Ovis aries: one gene and its partners. The protein of the gene in region 1 interacts with the protein of each later gene in a pairwise test. Links are inferred from orthologs where the notes say so. Each region holds a gene or a part of one and is shown in the gene's direction. Other genes may lie near its edges. The genes, in order: SMAD4, DCP1A, PIAS1, ATF7IP, EWSR1 and RASSF5.

Evidence for each region.
Region 2: the proteins of SMAD4 (region 1) and DCP1A interact in binary tests that used the Homo sapiens proteins (3 or more experiments, as listed by UniProt). The link is inferred for Ovis aries from reciprocal best matches to the Homo sapiens genes SMAD4 and DCP1A.
Region 3: the proteins of SMAD4 (region 1) and PIAS1 interact in a two-hybrid assay, tested with the Homo sapiens proteins (2 studies listed by BioGRID and IntAct). The link is inferred for Ovis aries from reciprocal best matches to the Homo sapiens genes SMAD4 and PIAS1.
Region 4: the proteins of SMAD4 (region 1) and ATF7IP interact in a two-hybrid assay, tested with the Homo sapiens proteins (2 studies listed by BioGRID and IntAct). The link is inferred for Ovis aries from reciprocal best matches to the Homo sapiens genes SMAD4 and ATF7IP.
Region 5: the proteins of SMAD4 (region 1) and EWSR1 interact in binary tests that used the Homo sapiens proteins (3 or more experiments, as listed by UniProt). The link is inferred for Ovis aries from reciprocal best matches to the Homo sapiens genes SMAD4 and EWSR1.
Region 6: the proteins of SMAD4 (region 1) and RASSF5 interact in binary tests that used the Homo sapiens proteins (3 or more experiments, as listed by UniProt). The link is inferred for Ovis aries from reciprocal best matches to the Homo sapiens genes SMAD4 and RASSF5.

What each region holds. Positions count from the first base shown.
Region 1 is NC_056076.1:50,873,586-50,878,568, forward strand, and holds part of SMAD4 (mothers against decapentaplegic homolog 4), read left to right. Parts: intron 1-915; coding exon 916-1,128; intron 1,129-4,439; coding exon 4,440-4,559; intron 4,560-4,653; coding exon 4,654-4,770; intron 4,771-4,983. UniProt on the Homo sapiens protein: In muscle physiology, plays a central role in the balance between atrophy and hypertrophy. When recruited by MSTN, promotes atrophy response via phosphorylated SMAD2/4.
Region 2 is NC_056072.1:47,748,228-47,753,763, forward strand, and holds the start of DCP1A (mRNA-decapping enzyme 1A), read left to right. Parts: upstream 1-2,276; 5' UTR 2,277-2,286; coding exon 2,287-2,421; intron 2,422-5,021; coding exon 5,022-5,062; intron 5,063-5,536. UniProt on the Homo sapiens protein: Necessary for the degradation of mRNAs, both in normal mRNA turnover and in nonsense-mediated mRNA decay. Removes the 7-methyl guanine cap structure from mRNA molecules, yielding a 5'-phosphorylated mRNA fragment and 7m-GDP.
Region 3 is NC_056060.1:14,946,746-14,951,728, forward strand, and holds part of PIAS1 (E3 SUMO-protein ligase PIAS1), read left to right. Parts: intron 1-2,044; coding exon 2,045-2,135; intron 2,136-2,792; coding exon 2,793-2,927; intron 2,928-4,983. UniProt on the Homo sapiens protein: Functions as an E3-type small ubiquitin-like modifier (SUMO) ligase, stabilizing the interaction between UBE2I and the substrate, and as a SUMO-tethering factor. Catalyzes sumoylation of various proteins, such as CEBPB, MRE11, MTA1, PTK2 and PML.
Region 4 is NC_056056.1:201,119,179-201,124,667, reverse strand, and holds the start of ATF7IP (activating transcription factor 7-interacting protein 1), read left to right. Parts: upstream 1-2,261; 5' UTR 2,262-2,448; intron 2,449-5,489. UniProt on the Homo sapiens protein: Recruiter that couples transcriptional factors to general transcription apparatus and thereby modulates transcription regulation and chromatin formation. Can both act as an activator or a repressor depending on the context.
Region 5 is NC_056070.1:68,576,962-68,581,944, forward strand, and holds part of EWSR1 (RNA-binding protein EWS), read left to right. Parts: intron 1-2,002; coding exon 2,003-2,214; intron 2,215-3,101; coding exon 3,102-3,282; intron 3,283-4,983. UniProt on the Homo sapiens protein: Binds to ssRNA containing the consensus sequence 5'-AGGUAA-3'. Might normally function as a transcriptional repressor. EWS-fusion-proteins (EFPS) may play a role in the tumorigenic process.
Region 6 is NC_056065.1:4,132,966-4,137,948, forward strand, and holds part of RASSF5 (ras association domain-containing protein 5), read left to right. Parts: intron 1-3,223; coding exon 3,224-3,345; intron 3,346-4,983. UniProt on the Homo sapiens protein: Potential tumor suppressor. Seems to be involved in lymphocyte adhesion by linking RAP1A activation upon T-cell receptor or chemokine stimulation to integrin activation.

The sequences.
Region 1 (4,983 bases):
GTGTTAAGAGTTCAGTAGATAGTAAAATTTTAGGGTAGTGTTAGTTCAGGTGCAGTAAAGGATTGCTTGCTAAAGATAAAAAGCAAACCCCAAACTATTACCTAAAAGGAAGTGGGACCATTCTGGGCAGGGCCACTGATACTGTAAACGCGATTTCAGTTTTCTTTTTTTCCTCACAGTAAAGCTGACTAACTATTCCTGGTTTGTTCAAGAAAAAGTTGTTGTATCAAGTAGGGTCAGTTTACAGGGTTACATTAAGGTGTAACCATGCAGGAGAAAGATGTTATTTATTGAGTTTTTTCACACTACGTATTTATCAAGCATCATTATTTGGATTGGGTTTCTAGAAGGAAATTTCAGTTTGACTTACCATTTGAGATTTTTCTGCTCATTCTAATTTTTTAGGGGACATTTAGTATGCTTCACTTTCAAAGAATACATTACTTAATAATGCTAGATCCTGGCATTAGATAGCTGTAAGATCCCACTCATATTTTTACACTGTGAAATTGGCAAAAAGAGGAAAAAAATTAATTAGTCGATCTCCAATTTGGTCTTCTTAGTGAGGTAAACACTTTCTCTAGCCACTTGATTTTTGCCTATGTTATATATTTAAGGTGATTATTACCTTTAGATTATTAATTGGGAAGCTCAGAAATACATTTTCAGGACCACAGCCGGAGGTGGTTGTAATTTAGTCGCCTTCAGATTTCAAGGAGTTAATCAGATTGATCTGATGCCACTATCTTTAAATAAATAGCTTTTGCTGATAAAGTAGAATGCTTTTAAAGTAGTATGAGAAAATTCTGAGTTACACTCTAGTTGACTTTAGGTGTTCTTATGTTACTTACAAGATTTTTTTTCCTGGGAATAAAAGCTTACAAGATTTTAAAATATGTTTGTTTTTCTGTGTAGCTCCACCAAGTATGTTGGTGAAGGATGAATATGTTCATGACTTTGAGGGACAGCCATCATTATCCACTGAAGGGCATTCAATTCAAACCATCCAGCATCCACCAAGTAATCGTGCATCGACGGAGACATACAGCACCCCAGCTCTCTTAGCTCCATCTGAGTCTAATGCTACCAGCACCACCAATTTTCCCAACATTCCTGTGGCTTCCACAAGTGAGTTGTAGAGTCAGATATAGTCAGCAAGATGAATTTTCCTAACAATTGAATATTTATAGGTAGTCACTTGGAGGGGACGTCCGAGTAAGTGAATATTAAAAGTACTGTGGTTATCTTTCATGGGTTAACAAGCATCAGATAGGTTTTTGAGTTGTCCTGGAAAAAAAAAATATTTGTAATTTTAAAAAGTTTAAATGTATCTTAATGTAACAGAACATAAACCGTCTTATGTTGATGTATAGTCCCTTGGAATTTAAATAATGCTTTAAATTAGTGGTCTAATTTGTACTTTATTACATGCAGAAGAAGTCTATTGAGCTTTCACATAAATTTTAGAGAAATGTTTAAGTAGAGAACAAATAGTTTTGAACCAAGATATTTATAGAAATCTGTATTAATGGAATTGCAAACTTTCCTCTAATCAGTGTTTTTATTTTGCTTTATCTGGCAGATTACTTTATAATCGTCATCTCAGTCTCCAGTTGTACAAGCTTATTAGAAAAAAGGACCTTGACAAATTTATTTGTAACATATGACCCTCAGGATAGATGTTAAGTGTTCTAGTCAGTTTTGAAATAAAGCTAAATTATATGTATCTTTTTTTTTTCCTAACAAGAAGTGTATTTTAAAAAGATTCTTGGGATCGTATGTACACCCGTGGTGGATTCATGTCAATGTATGGCAAAACCAATACAGTATTGTAAAGTAAAATAAAGTAAAAATAAAAATTAAAAAAAAAAAAAAGAAAAGATTCTTTCCAGTTTAGAGGTACTGCCTTCTCTGCTGTGTCATGGAAGCAGAGGGCTATTAGGTTCAGCTTTTCTTGGGGCCTGGTCAAGGCAATAATGACCTTATGTTGGACAGTGGAGTGGCCTTTTTTTTTTTTTTAAAAAAAAGAGTACAGTTGCTTTACGGTGCTGTGTCAGTTCCTGCTGTATAGCAGAGTGAGTCAGCCACATGTATGTCTGTCTTTTTTCTTGGATTTGCTTCCCACTGAAGTCACCATAGAGCACCGAGTAGAGGCCCCTGTGCTGCGCAGTAGGTTCTCACTAGTTAGCAGCTTCATGCATCGCAGTGCATGTGTGTCAGTCCCGGTCTCCCAGTGCGTCCCCACCCTGCATCGCTCCTGTTTTATTTTTAATTACTCACAGAACAGGGTCTTGGCATTTGTATTACTGTGTTATTTGTACATCAGTGCTAAGGAGATTGTATCTCAGCCCACAACAGCAGTAAATTATTGATGCATCTGGACTGATACTTTGTATATTGATATCAAAGGAAGCATATTCTATTTATTTTAATATCAGATCAAGTTCAACATAGAAATTTGATCTTTGGAACAAATGAAGGATTTATTTCTACAGTTGAATTTCAGATAAAGTACACCAAATTTCCCCCGCTTTATTTTACCTTTTCAAATAATATCCTTTGTATTTCCTACACAAGATGACAGTCTTCATACAGACAGCATATTCCAAATAGGTTGGACCATATAGGTTAAACACATACTTTAGAGCCTGAACCTTTAATCACTTGGTGCTTCTGTTATCTCTGTATTAACCAGTTTGGGAATATAGTTGATAAACGAGTGGGTGGGGAAGGAAAATAAAAGAAGGTGCATTATAGCCACTTGAGCATAGATTAATGCCACTTACCTCTATTGATACTATCTGAGGATTGAATTGGCATGCCTTTGTTGATGATTGCTCATGCAACTTCATTTTAACCATTAATGTTACTGGGACCAAGTCCTAGTCAAGATCAGAAAAAGTGGTATAAATGAAATATGGGTAATTTTGTCTTGGTGTTTTTTGGATGTATTTTCACAATGAGTAGTAATTAACTGTAAGTTTTAGAATTTGTTGCAGAATGTTCCCTTAGATCTTAAAAGATATATTGATAAAATTAGAAAAAGGAAATGACTAAAATAGAGGAATTAAAAGACTTCATGAGTTGTTTTAATTTCATTTTATGTTCTTGGAATTGTGTAATGAAAGTATTCAGTATAGATAACTGTAGTGGGCGTTATGTTCAATTGGAACCTGAATATCTACAGGGATTCTTTCTAAATTAAGATAGTTCAAATTCTCCTGCATAGTGACAATTTTTGTAAGATAGCTAAGAGTATATAACATGTACAGTTGTTAAAAACAAGAGGAAATATGCAATTAACCTTCAAAGATTACCTGTAAAAATTTGAGGGGGATGAGTAAGAAGGGAGGTTGCTGAAAATATCATCTTTAAAAATAAATACTTTAGGGAGTATTGAAATAGTCTTTTTAGCTTTTAATTATATAATCTTAGCCTTACAGAAATCTGATTTGTAGCAGGAAGAAAAGTTTTCTTTTTTCTTGATACTTTGAGCTGTTCGTTGCATATTTGGGCAATGGTGTCATTTACTCCCTTCTATCTGATTATACTCCTATATGGTTGAGAAAAGATTAAGGTAATGCCAGTAACAATAATTATGGAATTTTAGTGCTTTCCAAGTGAGATGCACAGTTGACTTAATACTTGCTTGAAAAAATTTAGCCTTTTTCACACAAAAGATACAGCCTTAAAAATGTAAGCAATTTCATAGAATGGTTTTAAATAGAATAGTTCTCCTGTTTTATTACATACAGAGAGGGCAACTAATTTCTTGTAAATCCAGGAATATGATAGTGTTCTTAGAGGCAATTCTTGATATTTAAAAGTACATGAGAAAATATCACAATAGACTGATTTTTTTTTTTTTTTGGTTTATTTATTAAAACTCGCAGATGCTGCGTTAACCGGACAGTGGAGCTTACCTTTTTTCCTCTTAACTTTCTCACCTTACCATTACATTCCATTTAAAATACTTGTCTGCTCTGCTTTTTTATTGAACTTTAGCATTCTGCTATTGCTACCATTGCTGATAATAATGAGCTTTCCAATTTTCAACATTTCCTTGAGCCTGGACATTTGGAATCCTAACAGAAAGATGCAAAAGCTAGATGGAGTGGCTGTGGGTGAGCTAATGTACTTCTGAAGAAGTTATTAAAATAGGCTAGACCTGTACTGGGGTTTTGCTGGCATTTGGAGAATATTTATGAAGAATGGGCCACTAAAATTAGCTAGATATTAGAATAATTTTGAACTTCTTCAGGTTAAGGTTTGCCTTTATAGATGACTGCAGGGTTTTTTATTTGGTAGGCCATGGGTGACTTCACTCTTTGCTCATCTTTATAGTTGTGACTTTCAGGTATAAAATCCTTCATTTACTGTGTAAAGCCATAGGATTGCATCTACAAATGTACCATATTAATGTCTTCTTGTTCCTCTAGGTCAGCCCGCCAGTATACTGGCAGGCAGCCATAGTGAAGGATTGTTGCAGATAGCTTCAGGGCCTCAGCCAGGACAGCAGCAGAATGGATTTACTGGTCAGCCAGCTACTTATCATCATAGTATGTACATGCTTTTTAAAATCTTTTAAGTAGTTGAGAAAAAATAGGCAGACTTTATAAAAGCCAATTAATCCATGTGGGCCTTAATTTTTAGACAGCACTACCACCTGGACTGGAAGTAGGACTGCACCATACACACCTAATTTGCCTCACCACCAAAACGGCCATCTTCAGCACCACCCGCCTATGCCGCCCCATCCCGGACATTACTGTAAGCTCTTGTTTTTGTTGTAAGGGCCTTTTCTTTTTTGAAGTTTGTTTTCTTTCTGTTTTTTAAAAAAATGTTTTTACATCTTTTGTTCATCTTACAGTTTAGTTTCATTACATGATTAGTGCTTTTTAGTTTTTCATAGTTATGTTATCATACCTTTGTTTTCGAGGATTGATATTTACAAAACACTTTTATTTCTTCCTTGCTGATGTT
Region 2 (5,536 bases), on another chromosome or scaffold:
CTCATCTCATCCCCTTCTCCTCCTGCCTTCAATCTTTCCCAGGATCAGGGTCTTTTCCAATGAGTCAGTTCTTTGCATCCTAAGCGGATACCTGTTCAAAGCAGGAGGTCAATAAATATTTGCTATGGAGAAGGGCAACCTGACTTCCCTCTTAAGAAATCAGTATGCAGGTCAGGAAGCAACAGTTAGAACTGGACATGGAACAACAGACTGGTTCCAAATAGAAAAAGGAGTATGTCAAGGCTGTATATTGTCACCCTGCTTATTTAACTTCTATGCAGAGTACATCAAGAAAAACGCTGGGCTGGAGGAATCACAAGCTGGAATCAAGATTGCCGGGAGACATCAATAACCTCAGATATGCAGATGATACCACCCTTACGGCAGAAAGTGAAGAACTAAGAAGCCTCTTGATGAAAGTGAAAGAGGAGAGGGGAAAAAGTTGGCTTAAAGCTCAACATTCAGAAAACTAAGATCATAGCATCTGGTCCCATCATTTCATTGCAAATAGATGGGGAAACAGTGGCTGACTTTATGTTTCTGGGCTCCAAAATCACTGTAGATGGTGATTGCAGCCATGAAATTAAAAGATGCTTACTCCTTAGAGGGAAAGTTATGACCAAACTAGACAGCATATTAAAAAGCAGAGACATTACTTTGTCAACAAAGGTCTGTTTAGTTTTCCAGTAGTCATGTATCAATGTGAGAGTTGAACTATAGAGAAAGCTGAGTGCCGAAGAATTGATACTTTTGAAATGAGAAGTCTCTTGAGAGTCCCTTGGACTGCAAGGAGATCCAACCAGTCTATCCTGGGGGAGATCATTCCTGAGTGTTCATTGGAAGGACTGATGTTGAAGCTGAAACTCCAACACTTTGGCCACCTGTTGCAAAGAGCTGACTCATTTGAAAAGACCCTGATGCTAGAAAAGACTGAGGGCAGGAGGAGAAGGGGAGGACAGAGGATGAGATGGTTGGATGGCATCACGGACTCAATGGACATGAGTTTGGGTAAACTCTCGAAGCTGGTGATGGACACGAAGGCCTGGCGTGCTTCTGTTCATGGGCACAGAATTGTACACGACTGAGCGACTGAACTGAACTGATGGAGAAGGGAATGGCAATCCACTCCAGTATTCTTGCCTGGAGAATGCAATGGACAGACCAGCCTGGTGGGCTATAGTCCATGGGATTACAAAGAGTCAGATACGGCTGAGCTACTAACAAAAATACTTGCTAAAGAAACAGTAAATGAATATGTTTCCTTTTCTGCATTTGTACATGTAACGTGATTCTGCCAACAATGTAAAACATTAAGTATCTTTCCGATAACGACCTCGGGATGTAAAATCATAAACAATACAACTATTAGAGTCAATAGTATTTTTCAGTCAAAAAAAATTCAACCTGCACCCCGTGCACTGGAAGGGTGGAGTCAACCACTGGGCCGCCACAGACACCTCTCGGTTATCTTTTCAGTATAAGAAAAGGTTTTTTATAACAAATCGGGGGAGGGGCGGGGGAAGGGGCAGAGCTCCCTTTATCTTCCACACCTTGTTTTACTCTTTAGCTAGTAACTGGCTCTTTTAAAATGCCTTAAAATATTAAGCAGATGTTTGCTAAAAGGATGAGTTACCGTTTTAAAGCTTTAAATGATGCACGGCAAACAACTTTTCAAGGGTTCTTTCCAAAACTGGATAAAGATTTTCGTGGGATTCAGAGGAAGAAAATAAGTTGACAATAAAAGACATTTCTGTGTAATTACAGACAGGCTAGTCTGGCTTTTTCAAAAACTTCCTTTATAAAAACACAAATAGATCTGAGATCTGGGGTACTTTCCGAGGTACCCCACCCCCACCCCGTTTCTCCCCGCTTTTCTGTTTTCTAAATCGCCCCTGGAGCCCTGCCTTGACGCAGCTAGGTTTCCAGTCTGCGGCCACGGGAAACTAATCCGGCAGGAACGGTGAGAAAGCTCCAGAGCAGCCTTGTTCAGAGCGCCGGTACCTTTCAGCCCGCGGAAAAGAAGAACCTGCGCCCAGGCCTTTCTGCTCCGCCACGCGGCGGCGGACCCCACCTCGAACCTTAGTCCACTGGGACCTGACGACACCGGAACCCGGTGCCCCGGGCGTAGGTTCAGCGGAGCATAATAGCTGCAGTACCGCCCGGCCGCGAGGCCCGGTGGAGAGGCGGAAATTGAGGGCGCTGACGCAGCTGGGGGAACTTTGCCTCCATGGCACCTTCCTGTCCTCGACTCCGCCCCGCCAGAGGGGCTCGGCTCCAGAATTCAAGATGGAGTCGCTGAGTCGAGCTGGGCAAGAGATGAGCCTAGCAGCCCTGAAGCAACACGACCCCTACATCACCAGCATCGCAGACCTCACGGGCCAGGTCGCACTGTACACCTTCTGCCCCAAGGCCAACCAGTGGGTGAGTGCAGCCAGGTGGCTGAAGTCGCTCTCCCGGCCGCCGTCTCTTAAAGGGGCCGCGCCGACCGACCTGGGTAGGGGGCGATGCGGGAGGCCACGGTGGCGGAGGCGAGGCCAGGGACTGGAGGAGAGCCTGGCCGGCGCCTGAGAGGTGTCGGCGCCGCTGGGGATTGGGTGAGAGGAGAGAGGGAAGTAGGTCCAAACATCCGGGGGGAACGCTGATAGAGGGGAGGGTTGAAGAAGGATTAGTCCCCAGGGGTCCAGTTCGAGGATGTGGGCGACCTGCCTTCTTTGCAGGTGTGTTGGAGGATTTGAGACCGATGGAGTCAGAAAGACGCCTGTAAGATTGTCTGAAGCTTTGAGAGTTGTTAGATAAATTATGTATACATAATCTATAAAGTAAACACTCCTCTCCCCCCAACAGATAGATAAATCAGAACCCCCTTCGCAGAGGTTATTAGGATTTAAAGCTTGAATTCCAATTAGTTTCAGTTCTTGGAAAGGCGAGAGGGTGGGGATACGTCCCGCATTTATCAAACTACACTGTGTTTCCAGAGTTTGGAAAAGATTTCAAGGCACTTAGGAAAAGGGCTTGCATGTTAATTTTGTTACCTTGAAACCTTTGGACAAGAGACCTCGTGTTTTCAGCTATGCTGCTGGTGATGTCACCTCTGAATACGCGCATCAGACTTAAGTACTTTTTGCCTTTTTTTGCACGAGAGAGGTTGCGAAAAGTTACATTCAGTTAGTTCACTGATTTGTTAGCCGCTTTGAAGCTTCGGTTGTTGTTTACATGTCAGAATTTCGAGACTTCCCTGGCGATCCAGTGGTTAGAACTCCCCGCTTCAACTGCAGGGGGCAAGAGTTCGATCCTTAGTCGGAGAACTAAGATCTAACAAGCCACGCAAGTGGCTAAATAAAATATAAATAAACGTAACATCATTTCCCTTAAAAATATGAATCTTCTTGATTAACTCATTTAGCTATATAGGCTTTATTTTAAAAATAGTCTGTAAATGTTTGTTGGATTGAATTAATAAATGATTCACATTCACGTTTCAATAAGAATTGAAGTCCTTGTACTAACAAAACAAAGATTATTATCATAATATATTCTTTACAACATAATGCAGATACATGGGTTATATTTAATCATTAATTTTGTGAAAAATCATTTCGCATTTATAAACAGTTAAATCAGATGCAGAGGGTTTTCAGAGTCATCTTGCTTTACTTTGTATCGTCTTTCCTTCACCTCCTGGAATAGGAGGAGGTATGGCAAGCCACACAGAACAAAATTATAGATTTTTTCTTTTAAGTGTGACTGTTTTAGTAGATATTGCTTTAGTTTAAATTGTTTTGGACCATTTTTCTTTTCTTGCTGTGCATATACATTTTTGGAGTGTGGATTGCAGACAAATGGTGAATATTTGGGGCATGGGCTTATTACTATAAGCTTTTATTTCTAGTTTGTCACAGACTTCCAATATTTTGGAATTTTAATTGTGCCATTCTTCTTTAAATACAAGCTGAATGAAATACAAGCTGAAATAACCTGAATTGAAAACTAAGCTGCCGTTATTCATTTGTATCATGGCAGTGATTTGTAACTTTACACAGTTGTTTATTTGGGTAAATTTTCTTTCATTGTGAAGCAATTGATTACCAATTTATTATATTAATAAAGTTTGAAAGGCAAGAAATACATAAGGAAAAATTCCATGATAATGTTTAAGTTAGAAATCAAGATGGTAAATATCTTTTAAAGTTCTTTTTTTCATCCCACCAAATTCAATTCTATATGACTAACATTTAAGTTTGTTAATAGTTTGCTGACTGCATTAAACTGTTTAGATCCTATCTGGCCTGTGAATTGTAGACTAATTTAAAAAAAAAAACAAAACATTTTAACGGTTTAAAACCTAAATACACTCTTGTCACAGCAAATGAAAGATGATGAGTTGTACTTTTTTAATCAAAACGTTTACTTTAAGCGAAAAAAAAGTTTTAAATTATTTGTAAGACCTATACAAATTATACTAAGTAGAATTTCAGTACTCATGATTCTTCAACAAAGGTCTAAGAGTAACAAACTAATTGTGTTTGACAGTAGTTCTTAACTAACTACAAAATTTGCTACTCAGGAAAATATGCCGGAATCTCCCAAATGATGAAACAGTGTCCTGTAAGATAAAATTTCTTTTTTTTCTCCTACTAACTTTGATAAACTTTAAAGGTGAAGTAATGACTGTATACAGACTTTGGCTTTAAAATTAAGAAATTTGGCTAAAACATTTTAGTTTTAAAAAATGAAAGCTAATTCTAGATTTTTTTCTCCTTTAAATTTTAAAAAAGAAAAGAAAAGTTACTGTAGATACAGGCATGTTGCTGGATAGAACATTGCATATCAATTAACATGCATCAATAGACTAAAAAGGATACAAAAGAAACTGGTAACAGTAGTTTGTAGAGAGAAGCTTGACCTGTTCAGAGTAATTAATTTTAAAATAAATAAGTTAATCTTAAACATGACGTCTCCACTGGGACAACTTGGGGTTAGATTATGGGGGAAAAAACTAATTGACTCATTGTCTGTTACAGGAGAAGACCGATATAGAAGGGACCTTATTTGTATATCGAAGGTAAGCTTTTTAAAAACTTATTATTTTTTTAATTTGATGGTGAACATTGTCATGTAGAGTGATTCAGCCCTATTGTATTGTCTTTGGAACTTCCTGCTTGACCCTTCCAAGTATTCATCCATCTCTTGCTGTGAAATCTTAACCAAGTAATGTCCCTTCTTTGATAGTTCCTATGATTCAGAATCAAACAGAACTTATTTAGGAACCTAGCAAAATAGAAAACATTTTGTAGTAATGAATGAATCTAAAACAGATGCCTTTTTCCTTTTCCCCATATTAGGAAAACAGATACGTAACTGAGAAAAATATAATACAGGAGCTAACTATTCTGTGATTACTGAACTAAAAGGTTATCTTCTAAGACTCTGGTTCTTTCCCCATTCCAGCTACCCAAAAGTTTTGAGTTGTGTACAGTGTCTAGTAATAGGTATTTTTAGTTTGAGAGTCCTTTAGAAAGCCTGGACTACTCATAAC
Region 3 (4,983 bases), on another chromosome or scaffold:
TTAAGATCAGTATTTTCTCTATTAGATTCCTAATCTGTTTTCATTTATCTGTTTCCCCTCTCCACCCCCATGAACATCTGTATAGAAACTTTCTGCTATTGTTCCTTTTTTAAAAAAACCTTTGGTTTGTAAGAATAATTTAGATTTTCACTTTTCACATAGTTGAATAGGGGTCAACTTGTCACATGGATTTTGGTTTTCGGTGGCTTCAGGCAGCCAGGTCCATGTTTCTAATTTCCCACAGTGTTGGTATAATTGATTTGAAACTGGAGCATCCTCTGACTTTTGCTGTGTGAAGAACTGGCCTGTCATAGAAGGTTCTGCTGGGGTTAGAGATGATCTTGTGGGTGTTGATATCTGTGTGCTAAGTATATTTTGAGAAAATCTTTGTAGGTTGGTAATTCTAAACCTTTCTATGACTCTCTAACCTCTTTGAGAATGTAATGGAAACTATAGATTGTCCCTGCTTAAAGATGACCATATATGTACCCATAAAATTTTATATAGAAAATTGTCCCATTTGTGGACCTTCCCTCACACAGATTCCATGGCAGGCAGATTATTGAGAGAAGATACTTGTGCTTCTTGTGTAAAACTTGTGTAAAAACAATGAATATTTCATAGAATTCAGAGATAGCATACTTAACATATAACTCAAAAAGTTCTGTAAACATTCTGTAAAGGTGGGATGAACCTTAGCTCTATATTGGGAACAAGGAAGTAATTGAGAATTGTTGTCTTAAATAGCAGATTAATCTATTTCTCAATCTATAGAATGAATAGAGTAAGGAACTTCCCTGGTGGTCCTGGGGCTAAGCCTTTACGTTCCCAGTGCAGAGGGCCCAGTTCGGTACCCGGTCAGGGAACTAGATCCCACATACCACAACTAAGACCTGGTGCAGCCAAATTGAAAAAAAAAAAAAGAATGAAAAGATTGAGAGTGTACAAATTATGTAGCTGTCTTGGTTTTTCCTGAAAGATTACCATGTAATTTAGAAATAAATGTTTTTGTGAGTTTCTAAATAGTATTCTAAACACGTGGATATAATACAAATAATGTCGTTATTCAACATCCTCAGTTTTCAGGAACTAATGGAACACTTGAACTTGGTGGACAAAACTTGATCCTGGAGCTTGACTTCTAGCATTTTCAGTATATTCTGCTGAGAACCAAAAAAATGTATTATAGACAAATAAGTTTGGGAAATACCATATGTTATATCAGGCTTCCCAGGTGGCACAGTGATAAAGAATCTGCCTGCCAGTACAGGAGATACAGCTTCAACCTCTGGATTGAGAAGATCCCCTGGAGGAGAAAATGGCAACCCACTCCAGTATTCTTGCCTGGAGAATCCCATGGACAGAGGAGCCTGGTGGGCTACCATCCATAGGGTTGCAAAGAGTCAGACACGACTGAGCACACACACATACATTTCCCTCTTAAAAATTTACAGTCCTTATTAGCTTTGAGATGTTCTGTACAGAGAAAACTTAATTGAATTTTTTCCATTGAAGAATGAGTGCTTTTACCGAATTTCATTGTTCTCTGTCAAATATCAACATGAATCATCCATAGGCATATACATGTCCCCTCCCTCCTGAACCCCCTCCCTACACCACCCCTCTAGGTTGTTACAGAGCCCTGATTTGAGTTCCCTGAGTCATACAGCAAATTCCCATTGGCTATCTGTTTTACATATGGTAATATAAGGTTCCATGTTACTCTCCAAAATTTCTTAAATGTGTTCAACCCCAGAGCACCCCACCTCAACCCCCCAACCCCTACCCCCGCCAGCATGCTTGAACAAATGACTGGAAATACTATGAGGACAACTACAGGTTAGTAGTTGTGACTATTGAAACTCTACATTGACAAAATTATTTATTTTGATCCTATTTAAATGCATTTATTCGTAATATGAAATGTCTAGTTTTAATAGTTGTTGCTGTTAAGTTTGCCCATCTTTTAGATTAGCTATGGAACAAAAATATCAATGAGATCATCTTTTAATAAAGGAAATTAAATTTGTTCTTTATTGTTTAGGTTTTGTTTATCAGAAACCAGTTGTCCACAAGAAGATCACTTCCCACCCAATCTTTGTGTGAAAGTGAATACAAAACCTTGCAGCCTTCCAGTAAGTCCTAAAAGCTATTTTTCCAGTGCATTCCCAACATAGCTAGCAAATAAGTCATCACAGCTGTTGTTAATCATAGTTTTTCATTAAGAAAACGTCTTTATTTTGGATGTATATTCATGTGACTGAGTGAAACACTTGTACCAACTATGTCCAATTAACAGCTGTGACATTAGCTATGGAGACATAGTCTAGGACTTGGAGTTGGGTGTGGTAGCTTTTAGTATTTTATTTAATTTTGGGATGAAGAGATTGTTTCATCAAACCTCAGATGTATTCTTGTGTCTGAAACCTTGTGGTAGATGGGAGATATGAAGACTGCTGTGCATTTAACGAAGGAGTGGGGGCTATTGTTGCTCACGTTTAAAATAGCCCTTATGTGTTTATCCAAGTTGTTTATGAATTCAACATGATTCTTAAATTTTTACAGATTTTTACGTTCTATCACCAATATTTTTCTCAGGTTTACTTTAATGAGACTGTAGGGTAGTTTCGAGAAACGTACAGAAAACTCTTACAAATGTTTGCTTCTCCACTTTTAAATGGAAATACTCATATTTTCTAATATGTAGTTTGTAGGGTGTTGTTTTTTTTTAAGGAATGGAAGTTTAAATGGTTGTGGAAGTAATAAATAGAAATGTTATATTTCATCCTTAGGGTTATCTTCCACCTACTAAAAATGGTGTGGAACCAAAGCGACCCAGCCGACCAATTAATATCACCTCACTTGTCCGATTGTCTACAACTGTACCAAACACCATTGTTGTTTCTTGGACTGCAGAAATTGGAAGAGTGAGTAAATTTTTGTTTCTTCCAGACTTTTGTTTTATAAGGAAGGGTTAAGCTCTGTGGCTACTTGAGCTTATATATAAATAAAATGGGTATAAAATGAGTTACCAAAGGATTTATTTTTTGTCTCACAGTGAATTTTCAACATGTTCCCATTTTTAAAATGGGATCTTGTAATATTCAATATTTTATAATGATAACTTTCACTAAGTATTTTCATAAACATCTTCCTATGTCATTTCATGTTCATCTGTATGAAACAGCTACATCATATTTCAATACAAGTATCTATAGTTTAGCCTGTTCCCTATTGTTGAACATTTATTTGATTGTTTACTTCAAAGAACATTTTGAAGACTATCCTAATAGCTCTAACTTTGCATACACGCATAGTACTTTCTTTAGAGTAAATTCCCTTAAGTGGAATTGCTGAATCAAAGACCATCAGAATTTAAAGAAATTTTGTGTTCACTGGCAGATTGCCTTACCAAAAGATGTTTTAAAAATTTATTCTCTGACTTTCAGTGTTTTTTCATATGCCTGTTGACTGATAACACTTGAGTTTTATTTTCTTTGAAATCTCTACTAATTTTTATAGGTAAATAGTGGTATTAGATTGCTTTAATTAGTACTCCTTTTATTATTAGTGAGATTGAACAAATTTATTTGTGATTATTCACATTTTAAAAATATATCAATATCTGTTTCTCTGTTGCTGTTTTTCTTATTTTTATTGTTTATGAGTTCTTACATTACTGATTTAACCTTCTTTCACATGCTGCAAATGTTTGTTTGTAGTTTATTGCCTTTTCATTTATGTGATTATTTAATGTGTAGAAGATTTAAATTATTATGGAGCCAAATTTTAACCAGTTTGTTTCTTTTTTTCTTTTAATTTATTCTTTATTGAAGTATACTTGAATTACAGTGTTGTGTTAATTACAGCTATACATCAAGGATATATGACTCAGTTATATATAGATATGTATATTTATATTCTTATTCTTTTCCATTGTGGCTTATCACAGGTTATCGAATATAGTTCACTGTGCTATTCAGTAGGATCTTATTGTCTGTCCATTCTGTATATACTGGTTTGCATCTGTAAATCCCTAACTCCTGCTCCTGCCCTCTCCCATCTCCGTTCCCCTTGGCAACCACCAGTTTATTTTCTATGTCCTTGATTCTGTTTGTTTCATAGATAAGTTGGTTTGTGTCATATTTTAGATTCCACATATAAATGATACCATATGGCAATTCTTTCTCTTTTTGACTTACTTCCCTTAGTATGATAATCTCTAGTTGCATAGTTTTGTTTCTTTATCATCTTTCCGCTCAGCCTCTGTTGGATTTAGTTTATCTGCCCTTCCCAATCTTACATAAATATTTGTTTATATTTTCTCTTGACTTCTGAGATTTCTTATTTTATCTTTACATATTTAGTCCATTGTAAATTTACATGTGAAATAAAAATTTAATTTTTTAAATAGCCAGTTCTAACGCCATTAACTAGACAAATGCTAATTCTGAAGTAACCATTGTTATATATTTGATTTTTATTTATCCTGTGTGTGTTTCTGCACTTTGCTGTATTGTTTTTTAGCCTAGCATTCTTTTTCTGGCACAATTTTAGAATATTTTTGATTATTACAATTTTATATGAGTTTGTATATTCACAAATTCATTTGAAGTTTGCAGAATTTATGCTATATTCCATGTACTATACTGAAAACTGTTAGTAACATAGTGAGAAAAAAAAAGTCCTGACTTGGAGCCAAAATCCAGTTTACACACAAAAATGTGAACGGTGTCACAGGAAATATAAAGAAGAGGTGCATGGTGATATTAGAGTATACTCGGGCACTTTGAACTAGAGAGAGGTCAGGCAGGGCTTCCCTGAGGATGTAATGACTGAGCTAAGAGTTGAGAGAAGGGCAGAAGGAATCAGTTTGGTGAAAGATTCAGAGCAAATGGTCTTCAGAGTAGCCCACTGGCAGGTGTGAGCCTAGTTCTTTTTTTTTTTTTTTTTTTCAGGCAAGACTTTATTGGGTCCCCTGCC
Region 4 (5,489 bases), on another chromosome or scaffold:
ATTTTCTCTGTGACGTTGCTTTACTCCACTTTTTTTCTAGAAGAGTATTCAGTCTGTATGTATAAATAAGCCCATCACGGAGGGTAAAATATATAAATCCTTCAGTACTTACTGGTAAGTAGCTGCCCTACACCAAATATCCCTCCTACCAGCCAATCTGTCTCAATGCTCAGCTGAAGAATCCCTGGACCTCTCCAGAAACCTACAACTAGAAGATTCAGTTCAGGTCAGTTCAGTTCAGTCACTCAGTGGTGTCCGACTCTTTGCGACCCCATGAATCGCAGCATGCCAGGCCTTCCTGTCCATCACCATCTCCCGGAGTCCACTCAAACTCATGTCCATCGAGTTGGTAATGCTATCCAGACATCTCATCCTCTGTCGTCAACATCTGGTAAATTAGGGGTCTTCAAACCTTCTTCTATTCTAATTGGTCAGTGCCTGGTACCACAAGGATTGATAAATATTCTAAGTATCATCCTATTATAAATTTAAGCCACACCTTTTCCTCTTTACAGTGCCTTTGCATTTCTGTTTTACCTAACTTGAATCTTCTTTCTTTTGTACCTATTCTGACAGCCACTTTAAGTTCTACATTATGAGTCAGATCAAGTATCACCTGTTCTGTGAAGTTTTCCTACATTCCACAAGAAGATTTATGTTCTCTTGTTTTATATTTCTTTTATTTTTAGTATATAACCTCATGATTGTAATGATCTCATAATGGGAATCTGTATATATGACTCCTTCCTGATTAGAGGCAGTGTCATTTCCTCTGGGCATCTCTAGTGCTTCGGAAAGTGTGTGAATAAAGAATAAACGATGTACTTGTTGATTGAAACAATGAATGATTGGTTAGATTAATCAGCAGGTAGAATAGCTAAAGCGCCCATAAACATGTCATTGAGGATATATGGGGGAAGATTAAAATACAATAAAACTAAGTGGAGTTTTGGGGTGGCAAGTCTAGAATATGAGCAAGAAAGAAAATTGCCCAATTGGTGAGTTCATGTTCAAGTATTTGTCATTAGCCAAGACAATTAAGAATGAACTATTATGAAAATTATTCCTTTTTGGTTGCTTATAGAAGACAAAGAGAAAGCTAATGAACTCTACTATACCAACCTCATTTCTTATTATAGAATTTTAAATATTGATAGATTTGTAATTTGCTGAGCATCTATTTTATAATTGAGCACTATGTGTTAAATTATAATACATAATTTGTTATAATTGAGCCTCTATTTGTAATATATTGAGCACTAGTGTACTATATTCTGTGCTAAGGACAGAATCAAATTATAGAAATAAATATTAACCACCCCACATTAATTTCTAATTATTTACAAAAACTTCCTGTTAACTTTTTTGTCTTCTCCACTGTAGTAGAGATTTCTTAAAGACAGGCAAAGTAATATAGGTCTGGAACACACTCATTGCTAAATAAATACTGAATGAATAGATTAAGCATCACGGTTTACTAATGATATTAAAAAAAAAAAACCTCACTATCCATTTGTCAGTCTGCTTTTGCTTTGCAGAACACATTTACATTTATCCAATCATTTAGCCTCCTCAACTGATTTGAATTACAGTTATTATCATTTTGGAGATGAGAAAACTGACTAACACTTATTCCAAGTAACAAGCAAGTAAGCAGGAGTAACTGGACGTAAGCCCAGATTCTTCAAAAAACACGAGCAGCTTTTTTTTTTTTTTTTAATTGCACTCTGTGGCCTTCATGAGGGTTTGGCTCACAGTAAAAAACTAAGTAACAGGGATACAACAGGTTGAAAGGTACAACTGGAAGCGCTTGTTCTGGCAGAGAACAACTGAAAAAAAAGATGTTTGCGCCATTCTCTCGTGACTTACACAGTTTAAAGTATATTTTCCGAGTTTTTAATATACACGATAAAGTAACATGCTATAGTCTTTTTCGAAAACCTTGCCCTAGCTCTTTTAACTTTCACCCACCTATTTCCTTCCTTCTTTACTGAGGCTCATAGAGGGCGCTCACAAAGTGCTACTCACCGGTTGAGCGATGCGCCACTCAAAAAACACACCTCACTGCAACTAAAGGGCGCAGCGCCACCACCTCAGACTAGCTTCTCTTTTCCACGGCAGGAGGCGGGGCCAATATTTCTCATTCAAATAAAAACCCTGGAGATTTGCATGGGGAACAGCTAATCCGGGAGCCTATTGGCTGAAAGCACGGCGGGCGTGGCCAATATTACGACCACGGAGCCCCGCCTACAATAATTTGCATAACGGCCCCGGCGCGTGCAAGGGAGAAGCGGGTTTGTTTTTGAATCTGCGGAGGCGGCGGCGGAGGCAGCGGCGGCGCGGCGAGTGGGGAGCGCGAGACTGAGGCGGCAGCGGTGGGGACGGCTGCGCGGGACGACTCTGTAGGACGGAACTTGGTTCCTCCTGCCTCATCTCCCGCCCCGAAAGGTATATGTGAGTCCCAGGGGCTGTTATAACCACATTTTGTTAAATTACTATTGTATTTCTTAAGAGTCAAGACCGCATTATGGCGGCTGCGGGAGTTGTGTTTGCGCCTGCGCGGTTGCGGAGCTGCGGGCGGGCGCTGCATGGGAGCACGTGATCTTGCGGGGTCGGGCTCTAGCTGCAGTTGTGCAGCTGGCGGGGCGGTGGCTGCGCAAGCGCAATATTCATTTTCAAGATCTAATGTTCTTGGACGCCATTCGGGTTCTAGATTTAATTTTTTTTCATTCTTGAGGGGTTTCGTTTTGTTACACGGGAATTTCTATATTTTTCAAAGAAAACGTTTCTCTTATGCTGTATTCCTGTAGCGACCTGAGAGTTTTTTTGTGTGTGTGTATTTCTCCTATTTTCTGAGAAGCTGTGGACTTAATTTTGTGTAAAAATGATTGTCCATTTGTGGTTCTCGATTTTAATTTCACTTTAAGTGTATTGCTGGATTCACGTTTATATTTAGGGAGCTAAAGATCAGCACCTAGTGGTGTTCTCACGGGAAGTGCAATTATTTGAACTGCATATTTGCAAATACATTTTTAACCCTATCCTTACCAGTTCTATTATGGAATGTTTTCAAAATAGGAACAGTTTGAGGTTTGGAAATATGAGAGGGAGGGGACATTGAAAGAATCTATATAATGTTTTAAAAAGAAATCTTAATCTCCTTAAGTGTTTATATTTTTTTAAATAATTGGATCTTCAGTCGGTGGAGTTTTAATCAGTGGTGTGCCTCTGACCTTGCTTGCATTTTTTCTATTTTTGATTGCATGTCTAGTACTGCTTCAGTTAGATTATATTTGTTACTTTGACTTTTAAAATTGTAATGATATGTAAAATATAACTCAAACTCGGTAAATTTTCCTGATAAAGAATTCTACAAAGAACTCCCAACTACCCTGAGGCCTTTATGAGGAGATTGTGAATCATCAATAAATCAGTTGATTAAAAAAACAGCCTGCTATATATAAATGTGTGTAAGATACAGTTTGTGTTTGGTTTTTAAAGTTGTCTGTTCCTGGTTTTAGTTTCTTAAAGTATCCTGATTATTTTAGTTTAAAATGGTAGTGTCACTATATTTAAATCTTAGGTAAGCCTTTGGGAGAAGTTTTATACGATTTAATAGAATTCTACCATTGTGCAAATTATTTCTTACTGGCCTGAAAACTTGTAAATGGTTGTCATAAATGTCATCTTTGTCTTGTATATGCAACAACTGTTTTCTTGGTTATGTAACTCTTAAATTAGTCACTTGTCAAATGAAGAAGTGGCTGTCGCTTTATAATCTTCGTTGGTTTAGGGACTTTATTGCCTACAGGTACTGTTAATAAGATTTAAATAGATGTAGTTGAAAGGAATACTTTTGGTTGATGGGTTTTTTAAAAAATGACATCACACAGGGCATAGAATGCAGTGATAGAAATAATTCTTTTTTTCTGAACAGAGTACTTGTTGTTGTGATATAATTTTTGAACCTCCAAGTCTTTTACACAGAAATATATTTAGAGGGCAGTTGTGTGATTTTTTTTTCCCCCCTTTTATGCTTCCAGGTTGATTACCCAGCACACCCCTTCCATCTCCAGATATAATTTCAAATATTTAAGAGTTGAAACATGTTTTTTTCTGTGTCTGTGTATGCGTACATAGTTAGGTTAAGAAAAGAACTTCTGTCTAGAACATGTTTCATTCTGCACTTCTCAGAAAAGTGAAATATTTTGTTTTATATATTTAAACTTATGTTTTCATTTGCATATACAAATGATTGCCTCAGGTTAATGTTGAAGCTTACAAGAGGCACTTGACAACACTGAAGAACATAACGAACTAGGTAAATATGTATTGGTAAGACAGTTTTGCTGTTTTGTAGTGATGGGCACATTGGTTAGAAAGGCAAGTATAGTTCTATAAACTTAAACTAAGAATAATGTACTGTTTGAACGTCTAATATTTTTTGTTCATTAGTACTCTGAATAACAGGCATGATTTGGAATTTAAGTTACTATTAAGATTGAATAAATACTGAATTAATTCTGTTACTGGGAGTCAATTAAAATCCTTTTAGATTTGTACATTTTAAACAAAAAATTCAGGAAAAAAAGATTTGAATACTTAAGCCAAAGCCATTAAAGTTTTTTTCTTTAAATTGTGATTTTAATATTGATATTTAAAACTTTTTACTTGTTTTAGCACGTTTAGAAGGTGTCAAAAGTTAATTAGAAATAAACACACTAAATGTTTTTGTGACTTTCCTATTTATTGATTGATCAATTAGTTTATCTTTTGGATCATAATTTCATTCCTGCCCCTTAACCTAAGCACATGCGTACACACATACTGCCGTATTGTGGCTATTTACTTTCCTGGTGGCTCAGTGGAAAAGAATCCGCTTGCAATGCAGGAGATGTATAGGAGACATGGGTTTGATCCCTGAGTCGGGAAGATCCCATGGAGGAGGAAACACATTCCAGTATTCTTGCCAGGGAAATTCCATAGAAAGAGAAGCCTGGCAGGCTACAGTCCATGGGATTGCAAAGAGTTGGACACAACTGAGCATGCACACACAACCTATTGTTATATTGTGGATATTTATCCATTTCATTGTTCTTTAGAAGTATGTTTTTCAAAAATGATTGCATGATATTCATTTTGTGAAAATATCCTAAATTATCAAATGTTCTTGAAACACATTTTTAAACAGCCACAAAATACCAGTGTTTTTAATAAGAATGTACTAAGACTTTCCTTATTGAATATTTTGTTCATTTTGCGTTTCTCTATTATAAATAAAGTTACAGTGAATATGTTGTACATGAATCAGAGTCTGTATCTTATTTCTTTGAAATTGCTGTTTCAAAGGGCTTTTAAAATAATTTACAAAATAGATAAAAACTTAGTTTTTTTGAAAAGCATTTCCCACGCCACCATGATTTTGGTGGTTGAGAAACAGCAGCTTATTTACTTTTTTTCCTGGTAACTAGTGAAATTGAACTTATAAA
Region 5 (4,983 bases), on another chromosome or scaffold:
TGAACTGTGTTGCCTCACTCCCAGGGATAAGCCTGACCACATATTCTACATTAAAACCTCAGTCAAAAAACACTTCTAAATATCAGTACATTTTTACCACTTTTTTTTTTTTTTTAATTTATTCAGATGAGAAACAGTGGCATGAAAGCAGATAAAGAGAACCATGGAAGTCACATTTTCCAGGTGCAGTTGAGATGGGTCAAGTTGCAGGGCATTATTTTTTCAAAAAAAAGTTTACCGTAATCATTTTATGTTTAACTTAAAGATCCATTCTCACACCAGTCTTGATGGCTAGGCCAAGGCCTTTCTTTTTGGCTTAAAGAGTTCATCGTTCTGCCTTTTGTCTTAATTAGCCGCACCAGCAACTAGTGTCCGGTTTTGGTTTCTTTAAAGTAGAGGAAAAACAGGTTGTCTCAGATTTATTTTTTTGTTGCGTTTTCAAATGAACTGTCTGAATTGTGTCCTCTAGTGTTAACTTGGTTTTGATAGAATTAACATTGCCCCTTTTTGTATTCATTTCATTGGCTTATGTATAAGCAAGCACAGCTGACTGGTAAGTGTCTCTGTACAGCTTGGAGTAGAAGGGGGCAGGGTTCGAGCAGTTCCTCCCAAGGGCCCACCCACACCTGTCACGTTGAGAGCACTGAATCTGGCAAGTGGAATAGGTGCGCTTGGTGTGAAGAGAGGCTTTTGAGTCCTTACAGCTTCCCAGGGGCTTCTCTGGTGGCTCAAACAGTGAAGAATATGCCTGCAATGCAGGAGACCCGGGTTTGATCTCTGGGTCTGGAAGATCCCCCTGAAGAAGGGCATGGCAGCCTACTTCAGTATTCTTGCCTGGAGAATCCCATGGACAGAGAAGCCTGGTGGGCTACAGTCCATGGGGTTGCAGAGAGCTGGACACGTTTGCGCAAATAACGTTTTACAGCTGTGGTAAGGGAGGTGCAGATACTTAAAATCATTGTAGTTAGAATTAAAATTGTATTATGCGTTGTGTTGTTTTTCACTGTCATGGTTCATCTAAAGTTTAATATTTCAAGCTTTATTTCTGTGTAAGAGTATCTTTGGTTAGTTTCCCTTCCCTTTAGTTGACATATGTGAAGGTGAATATCAGTCTGATATTCATTTTTCATACAGTACCTTGAGTCTGATGTTTCCTTGTCCATCTTTTCCTTATTAATGCCCAGATTCATAGACGATCAGGCATGTCTGGAAGTCAGGAGCTATGTACACACCAAAGCAACTTGAAACTTAGGCTCAGGAAAAAAGTGGCCACCCAGACACACATCAGGTGGCCTGGTACCTTCAGAAAACGAGCCGTCACTCCAGGGCATGATGTGGGCAGGCAGCCTGGGGACTGAGCACCATACCGGGCTGCCTCACTTTTCTCGGTGCCGTTTCCTGGGTCAGCCTCCCTGGGAGCACAGTCTTCCCTTAATACAGGAAGCACCTAGGCTCCCAAACGTGCCTTGAGTTTGGTTGAGAATAACTATTGTTCTGATGAGCACGTGTGCTTGCGTGTGTGTGCTCAGTCATGGCCCACTCTTTGCGACACCATGGCCCTGCCAGGCTCCTCTGTCCGTAGGATTTCCCAGGCAAGAGTGCGAGAGCGGCTTGCCGTCTCTTCTGCAGGGGGCCCTCCTGACCCAGGGATTGAACCTGTGTCTCCTGCATTGGCAGGTGGAGCCTCCCAACCCTCCACTGCCATGCCACCTGGGAAGCCCTGTTTCAGTAAAGGTGGGGGTGGTAAAGGGGGAGACTCTTAATTAAGGTTGTACATTTTATAGATGGGTTTGTTTTGTGTGTGTGTGTGGTATAATACCCTCTCCTATTCAGAACTTAAATACAAAAATACTTGCTCATTTTAAGTTCAGTGTGTTAATATGTAAAAAGTAACTGGAGTTTTAAGAGTTTCTATGGCACATGCTGGGAACGTCTCCTACATTTAGGGGACCTAAAATAACAAGTCTCTCCTAACAAACTGTTTTGTTTTGTTTTTTCTCAGCTACTCCTCTACGCAGCCGACTAGTTACGATCAGAGCAGTTACTCCCAGCAGAACACCTACGGGCAGCCGAGCAGCTACGGGCAGCAGAGTAGCTATGGCCAGCAAAGCAGCTATGGGCAGCAGCCACCCACTAGTTACCCCCCCCAGACTGGATCCTACAGCCAGGCTCCAAGTCAATATAGTCAACAGAGCAGCAGCTACGGGCAGCAGAGTGAGTTGCTAAGAGAGAAAACCAAATAAGAATGGTTGTGTTTGGAGTTTCTGAAACGGGGAAACACTCTACCACTGTGTGCTTTTGAACTCCAGGATGCATCTTGAGGGTATCATATCCTGGCTAATAATCCTGGCTTTTCTCCAGTTTAATTGTTGTTAGCATGCCTTAGGAGAAAAGAGAGTTTGTAACTGACCAGAGAAAAAGTTTCAGACTGCCAGCCCTGCTCTCTGGGGAGGTTATATGCAGTGAGTGAAGCCAGCTTTTCATATGGCCTGCCCACCCCAGCTCATTAAGAGAGCGTGAGCAGGTAGCTATTGAAGACTCTCGAAGTTTTGATAGTTTAAAAGATACTGTATTTTGATTTTTTTGTGTACATTCATAAGACAAAAATTTTTGTGGAATGCTTACAGTTAATTTATGTGGAAAAGTAACCAAAAATTCAAAAAGTTGTCTTCACAATTTAGTCTGCCTGGATTGTTGTCTTTAAAATGCACCCATGAGTATGTCTCATTATGACAATGAGTCGTGCTTCTTGATGGAGACGACCCCTTAGCAACCCCAAGAAACCTGACTCCATTTTTGTTTGAGTATGGTTTAAAGACCAGTTTTTTAAGGCATCTTGGGATACAGAACCCTGTGAACTGTTGGTCAGAGTCCTGTTTTTGTTTGAGAGTGGTTTTTTCCTAGGCAAACTATATGAGATTACTTCAGCCTTTTTTGTTGAACTTTATGAAAAGCTTACTGATGGGGGACTTAATCAGATGTAAAGAAGATGATACCTCGGTTAGTGCCTTGCACTTGAGAATTCTATGATTCCAGGAGAAAGTACAACAGCAGTGGTGTAAATGCTGATCCATGGCTTACAGATGTGACTCTTTCCTCAGGTTCATTCCGACAGGACCACCCCAGTAGCATGGGTGTTTATGGGCAGGAGTCTGGAGGATTTTCCGGACCAGGAGAGAACCGGAGCATGAGTGGCCCTGATAACCGGGGCAGGGGAAGAGGGGGATTTGATCGTGGAGGCATGAGCAGAGGTGGGCGGGGAGGAGGACGCGGTGGAATGGGGTAAGAGCAAACCTTTTCTCCTTTTACCTAATTTTGTTTCATCCATAGGATTTTCAGTGGAAAGAAGGGACTGAAAGACATAGGAAATTTATTTCTGCATTTCCATGGATAGTCTGATGAGCCCAAGCCATCTTGCAAACATGGAAATGTCATCTCTGTGGCATATCTATAGAGGCAGTTTGCTTTTTTCAATGCCAGTTGACTTGGTTGGGTTGGGGAGAACAAAGAATGGTTTTGAAACTAGAGCTTTCAGTCCCCTTCCTGGTTTCCAGAGGTCAAAAGCCTCCTGGGTAATAGATTTGGGATGGAACACACACAACCCTTCTAACAACCTTAGGTGTTTGACTAATTGCTTCTGAATGATTGTCTTGAAATACGTGGTGTATATACTGCAGAAAAGGAATGCAGCTGTTTTCCACAATGTTTGTCCCCAACTTCTGTTTATACTTGGAACTGTTGAACATAATGATGAAGATCTTGGTCCCATAACCCTTGAACTATGGCCTGAGGTGCACCTGGTGTACAGAGAAGTCTAGTAGCTTTGTGCAGAGTAATGTATATAATTGTGGAATCACTCTCCCCAGTGGAGATTTTGAGAAGTCTAAATCGGTTTGACCATTTTGATGGATGGAACGACCTGGTTTAGAAAACTTTGTCTAGAGTAACGTGAACCTGCTACCCCGCCCTTCCCCTCCCTCCTCCCGCACCCTTTTCCCTTTCTGGTGTCTCTACTTTGATGAAGGTGAGGTGAAATGTTGGTTAACATAATCCAGAAGGCTTAGTTCTGTGTGTGTTCTGTCCCTGTATAAACTAGTGAAAAAAAGTTATGCAGAATGTTGGTATAAGTATAAATTGGATTTGGTGCCACTGTTGGTTCAAGGAAAAACTGAATATAATTTCTTTAGAAGTGTACTTCAAGATTAAATATATAATTGATTTTTAAATTTTATATTAAATCTGTTTACTGCTGAAATACTGGTTTAAAATACTGTTTTGCATATTCTGCATAACTTAAGTCTTTAGTGAAATCTTTATTGGAAGAAAGTCATTTTATAAGATGCAAAAATTTATGAGTAATTTCGTATAAAGTAGAATCAATCTTCTGATTTGGAGAATATCATTCCATTATAAAGGTTTCACTTCTTTACAGATGTTTTAAATAGATGTAGACACTTGAAATCACTATCATCACATCTCCAATCATTTAGACTCCTTAGTATTTTTCAATTGCAAAACCAATTTTAAGTTTACTCATTTCAATTCTCCAGAAGTAATCATTCTACTAATTTTGCTAGATTTTGCTAGTAGAGGGTGTTCCCTCTTTCTCTGAGAAGTCTCTGCTGAAGCCATAGGAAACCCTGTGGCTCTCCCCACAGGCTTCTCAGCAGACTGACGCGGTCCGCGGGACCCTGTGGGGACAACACAAGAGCCCCCCCTCTTTTTTTTTTATTGTGGTGTGGTGATGGTTTTCAGTGTCTTCTGCAGGTAAGGCACTCAATGTTGTTAACATGCCCTTTCTCATTGCCTCAGTATTTTGATATTTTCATTGGCTGTTAAACGTGGAAACTTTTTAACATGCTTTGTCGCATTTATATGCTACAGGTTACAAAGTGAGAGCCTTGTATACACTTCAATACTTAAAAAGTACCCGTACTCAGTACTCAGCCGGCAGCATAATGAAAAGTGGGACTAGACACGGTG
Region 6 (4,983 bases), on another chromosome or scaffold:
GAGCGTGACCCTCCTGACCACTTGATTTCAGACTGCTAGCCTCCAGAACTGAGAGAGAATAAATTTCAGTTCTAGGCCACCTGGTGGGTGGTGCTTTGTTAGGGCAGCAAGGAATCCAGCACGGCCTGGGTCTGAGGGTGCCCCAGGAGCCCTTCCCCATCCGGACACACGGGCCCCTCCTTGGAGAAGGGCCCGTCTGGGGGTGCGCCAACATCTTTCCTTCCGTCTCGGGGGAAACGTGGCCCATGAGGGCCGAAGTGGTGGGCCCCGGTGGAACACGGCCCTGCCTTTGCAGCCTTGTGACTGTCCGTACTCAGAGCCCTGGGGGCCTGCCGGCTGCTGGCTGTGCTGGTGGGGTCGGCTTCTGGTGCGCAGAAAGGCCTGAGGACTCTGACTTCATCTCTGCTGGCCTAAAAGCCCTGGGCTTAGCGTTTCTGGGGGCCAGGAAATATCAAGACGTGCTTTGGTGGTCTTGCTCCGGTCTGTGATTCCGCGGTCTGATGGGACAGACTCATTGGTGCTCAAGTGTGTTTTTATAAAATCCCGAACCACTCCTCCTGGTCTCTTCTGTTCCCTGGCTCTGTGCAGCTCAGCATCAGACCCGTAAGAAAAAAGTAAGTAAATCTCCGTGTGGTTTTGATGCTCTTTTCAGAGCGCGTGTGCGTGTGTGTCAGTGAGAGACAGACAGGCACCGAGAGACTGCGCTGCACAGGTGGACTCAGGGTGCCCGAGTTGGCAGGACACAGCTGAAAGAAGACACTGCAGGGCGGCGTCCTCTGTCCAGATGCTCTTGCCTTTGGGAGCCAGGGGCAGCCCTCCCTCGGGGCAGAGCTGGCAGGCTCCCACCGGCTGGCAGCCCCGGAGCATCCTTCACGCTCTGAGCCCACCGGGAGCTGCACAGATGTGTCCCAGAAGCGGGCCCAGAGCAAGGCTTCTCGGGGCTCCCTTATTGAAGCCCTGGCATTTTTGGGCACTGCAGGCAGCAGAGACTCAGCCTGCACACCCTCCCCGCTGCCTTCCACCCTGCCAGGGGTGAGGTAGTCCCCACACTGGGCAGGAATCCTCTGGGGGCCCAGGAATGCATGGGGGCACTGGGAGGGGTATGGTGTGTGGCTCCGAGTGGGCCCCACACAGCCCCTGCACAGGCGAGACCGCTTCCCTGGAGGAGGGCCAGGAAGGCCTGGGTGGGCTGTGAAGGAGGAGGCATCATGGTGGGCCTGGCTGCGGGCACTGGGGAGGCGAGCAGCAGGGCTCCTGAGCGCCATCCCAGAGGGTGCTCGGGACTTCAGAGCATGGAGTCAGAAGGCGCCAGAGTTCTGGAATCCCCAGGTGCTATGCTGTGGCATCAACAGCAGAAACTGTCCAAGGAGGGTGGTCCCTGCACTCATCTTTGGGGACGGAAGGGAAGGTGGTGGCTTAAAGAGTGGTGGTCTCACTCCGAACCCCGCCCTGCCCCCCGCCGAGAGCCTGGGGAGAAGAGGAGACCCACCTTCACCACCAGCCCCCGCACAGCGCTTCACAGCTTTAAGATGATGTCCAAGGACTCCCCTGGCGGCCCAGCAGTTCGGAATCCTCCTTGCAATGCAGAGGACGTGGGTTCAACCCCCGGCTGGGGGACGAGGATCCCGCATCCCTGGATGTGTGCCACAGCTACTGAAGCCGGCACGCCGTACCTGGAGAGTCTGCATGCCTCAACAAAACATCCCACAGGACGCGAGGAAGACCCTGAGCGCTGCACACTCCCGACACAACCACACAAGTCATTAATAAAATTTTTTTTAAAGAAGGCAATCCCAATGTGCCGAGGTTCTGGAGCTTATTGAAAGGAAGGAGGCCAAGGCCTCATCAATCAGAAGCTTTCCTCGTCCCCAGGTTACCCAGACAGGCCCAGGCTGCCATACCGCCCCCCCCCCCCCACCCCCCCACCACAGGCCCACATCACCATCGGGCAGCCTTCTCACGGACACTGTGGCCGCCTCCTCAGCTGGGCCTTCCAGCTGAGCTGCCGCACCTTCAGGACAGGTGACCCTGGCAGGCCCAGCAGGTTCTGTGAGAGCCAGCCTCAGATCGGGGCATTGCTCACCCTGGGAAACCAGCCTCAGATCGGGGCGCTGCCCGTCTGGGGGAGCCAGCCTCAGATCAGGGCACTGCCCATCTGGGGGAGCCAGCCTCAGATCGGGGCACTGCCCGTCTGGGGGAGCCAGCCTCAGATCGGGGCACTGCCCGTCTGGGGGAGCCAGCCTTAGATCGGGGCACTGTTTGTGGGCGTGTGCTCCCTTCCCTTGCTGCCGTCCTGTTTCACTCCCATCCTCCATACACCCTCTCCCCTCACTGGTCCCAGCCTCACTGCCTCCTGCCCTCTTCAGCTTCACCTCCCTTCTGCCGGGGAGGTTCCAGAGAGGCAGCTGTGGCCCAGCCAGTGAGCTGTGTGTCCCTGGGCACCTGGCTTTACCTCTCTGAGCCTCAGCGTCCCTATCTTGAAGGTATTCCCCTATGCCCTTCTCAACTCTGGGCGTTGAGTCTTACTTCCATAGACGTGAACATTGTTTAGGAAATAAAGGTGAGGTTTCCCCAGAGGCACCTAGTTTGGGATGCTGTCTTTAGGCTGTGTCAGCCGGGTTAGAGAAGCTGACACATTTCTAGATGGGGTAGGGTCAGAGACAGGTGACGTTGATTATAACAATGGGATAACAGAAATTAGTAGAGTGCGCGCCAGCCTGAAGGGAGATGACCTAAGAGAAAGTCATCAAAGTCCCCCGGCCCCAGTTTCCATCTGTAAAGTGAAAGTGAAGTCGCTCAGTCGTGTCCGACTCTTTGTGACCCCATGGACTGTAGCCTACCATGCTCCTCCCTCCATGGGATTCTCCAGGCAAGACTACTGGAGTGGGTTGCCATTTCCTTCTCCAGGGGATCTTCCCGACCCAGGGATCGAACCCAGGTCTTCTGCATTCCAGGCAGATGCTTTAACCTCTGAGCCAGCAAGCAGCAGTAATAAGGGTTGCAGGGCCACACGCAACAGCAGAGGTGGGAGCAGTCTGGGAGCTGTAAAGCACCCCCTCACCTCCACGCGCACGGTGGCAGGGGGAGCCAGCGACACTCCCCCCTGGGGTCTCCCCTCCGCTCGCCTCCGCTGCCCTCCTGAGCGCCCTTCCCTCTGGGAGCCGCATGCTGCCCCCAGGGCGTTTCTCTGGCCACTAATCCCCCTGCGGTTCTCTCCCTCCAGACTGTAAATTCACCTGCCACCCGGAGTGCCGCAGCTTGATCCAGTTGGACTGCGCTCGGCAGGACGGCGCCTCCCGGGATAGGCCGTCTCCAGAGAGCACCCTCGCCGTGACCTTCAGCCAGGTAGGCAGCACGGACCGCGGAGCTTGACCTCTGAGGGGTCTGGGCTCCCCTCACCCCCACGGGCTCTGGTGAGTGGGAGGTGCGCGGGTGTTCCACGTTTGCCGGATGTTCCACGTTTGCCGGATATTCCACGTTTGCCGGATGTTCCACGTTTGCCGGATGTCGGGGGCCCGTTCCCGCAGGATATCGGGGGCCCGTTCTTGCCGGATGTCAGGGTCCCGTTCCCACCGGATGTCGGGGGTCCCTTTCTCGCCAGATGAGGTCCACGGCACACACTCAGATTCTTCACCCAGTTCTGATGGGGCAGGGGGCAGGTGGCTACACCGCCAAAGCAATCCTCCACTGCACTGCGTGTCCTATGACTCAGCTCCATTCTGGCACTTTCTGCGCACGCCACCACCCCCGCCATGACCACTGCAGATACCGGTCACAAGGCCGTGCTCTCACCCGTGCCCCTGACCCACTGGCTACAGATCCAGGTTCCACAGCCCCCTCCTGAGGCCCAGTTACTTTGCTACTGCAGCTCACAGAACTCAGAGGCATTTTTGGCCCACTAGATTACCAGTTTATTATAAAAGGATGTAAGGGGAACGTCCTGATGGAAGCCATGCGGACAGCAAGGTAGGCAGAAGGCACACGGAGCTTCCGTGCCCTCTCCCAGCCCTGCTCTCTCGGCACCTCCCTGTGTTCACCCACCCAGCTCTCCAGCCCCATCCTTTCGGGGTTTTACAGACAGGACTGATCAATTCCCTGGCCACTGGCAACCATCCTTCAGCCCCTCCCCAGTCCCCAGAAGCCTGGCAGCTGGGAGGGAAACTTCCTATCCTAACCCTTGGTAGGTTCTCCTGATCCTTAGGTGGGGTCCAAAGTCACTTCATCAACATAGGAAACATCTTTCTTGCTCTGTACTTGGGAAGTTCGAAGGGTTTTTGGAGCTCTGTGCCGGAAACGGAGAGAGACCAAGGATATGGTTCTTGTGATAAATCGCAGGTGGCACACCCCTTGCCAAGGGGCTGGGGGCATGGAACAGGGTGGAAGGAGCAGGGACGCCTGCTGCTTTTGAGAAGTGCCCTGTAGTCCACCCAGGCACAGAGCCTGCCTTGTCCTAGGGCTCCAGCCACGGGGTGCGGTATGGGTGGGGGTGGGAGTCCCAGGGAAAGCTCCTGAGGGTCCTCTGAAGCCTCGTAGCCCTGGGGTAGTGGGGGTGCTGGCGCTGAGGTGCTGGCAGTGCGTTGTCAGGCCAGCTTCAGAGGGACTGCACAAGTGTTTCCCTGTGTCAGAGGACCAGGAAGATGATGCCCAAAGCAGTTCTTGATTCTGGGCTTTGCCGAGGCACTTGAACCAGGATGTATTCGACCTTTGATGTCAAGCCTTTGGGAGGGAGACAGGAGAGCCTTGCTTTTAATTCCTGCATTGAACACACATTGATTTATCTGCTGTGTGCCAAGCACTGGTAAGAGTGGGGGTCCTCAGAGAACTTACATTCTGGCAGGAGAGGCAAAATACAACCAAATAGTATATGCTGTGATACGAGTTTCAATAAAAGTATGAGCCAAGTGTTCTGAGTAGACAGTGTACAGGGAAGTGCGGCGGTTTCTGTTGGGAGAAATCAGGGAATACTTCCCAGAGGAGGTGACA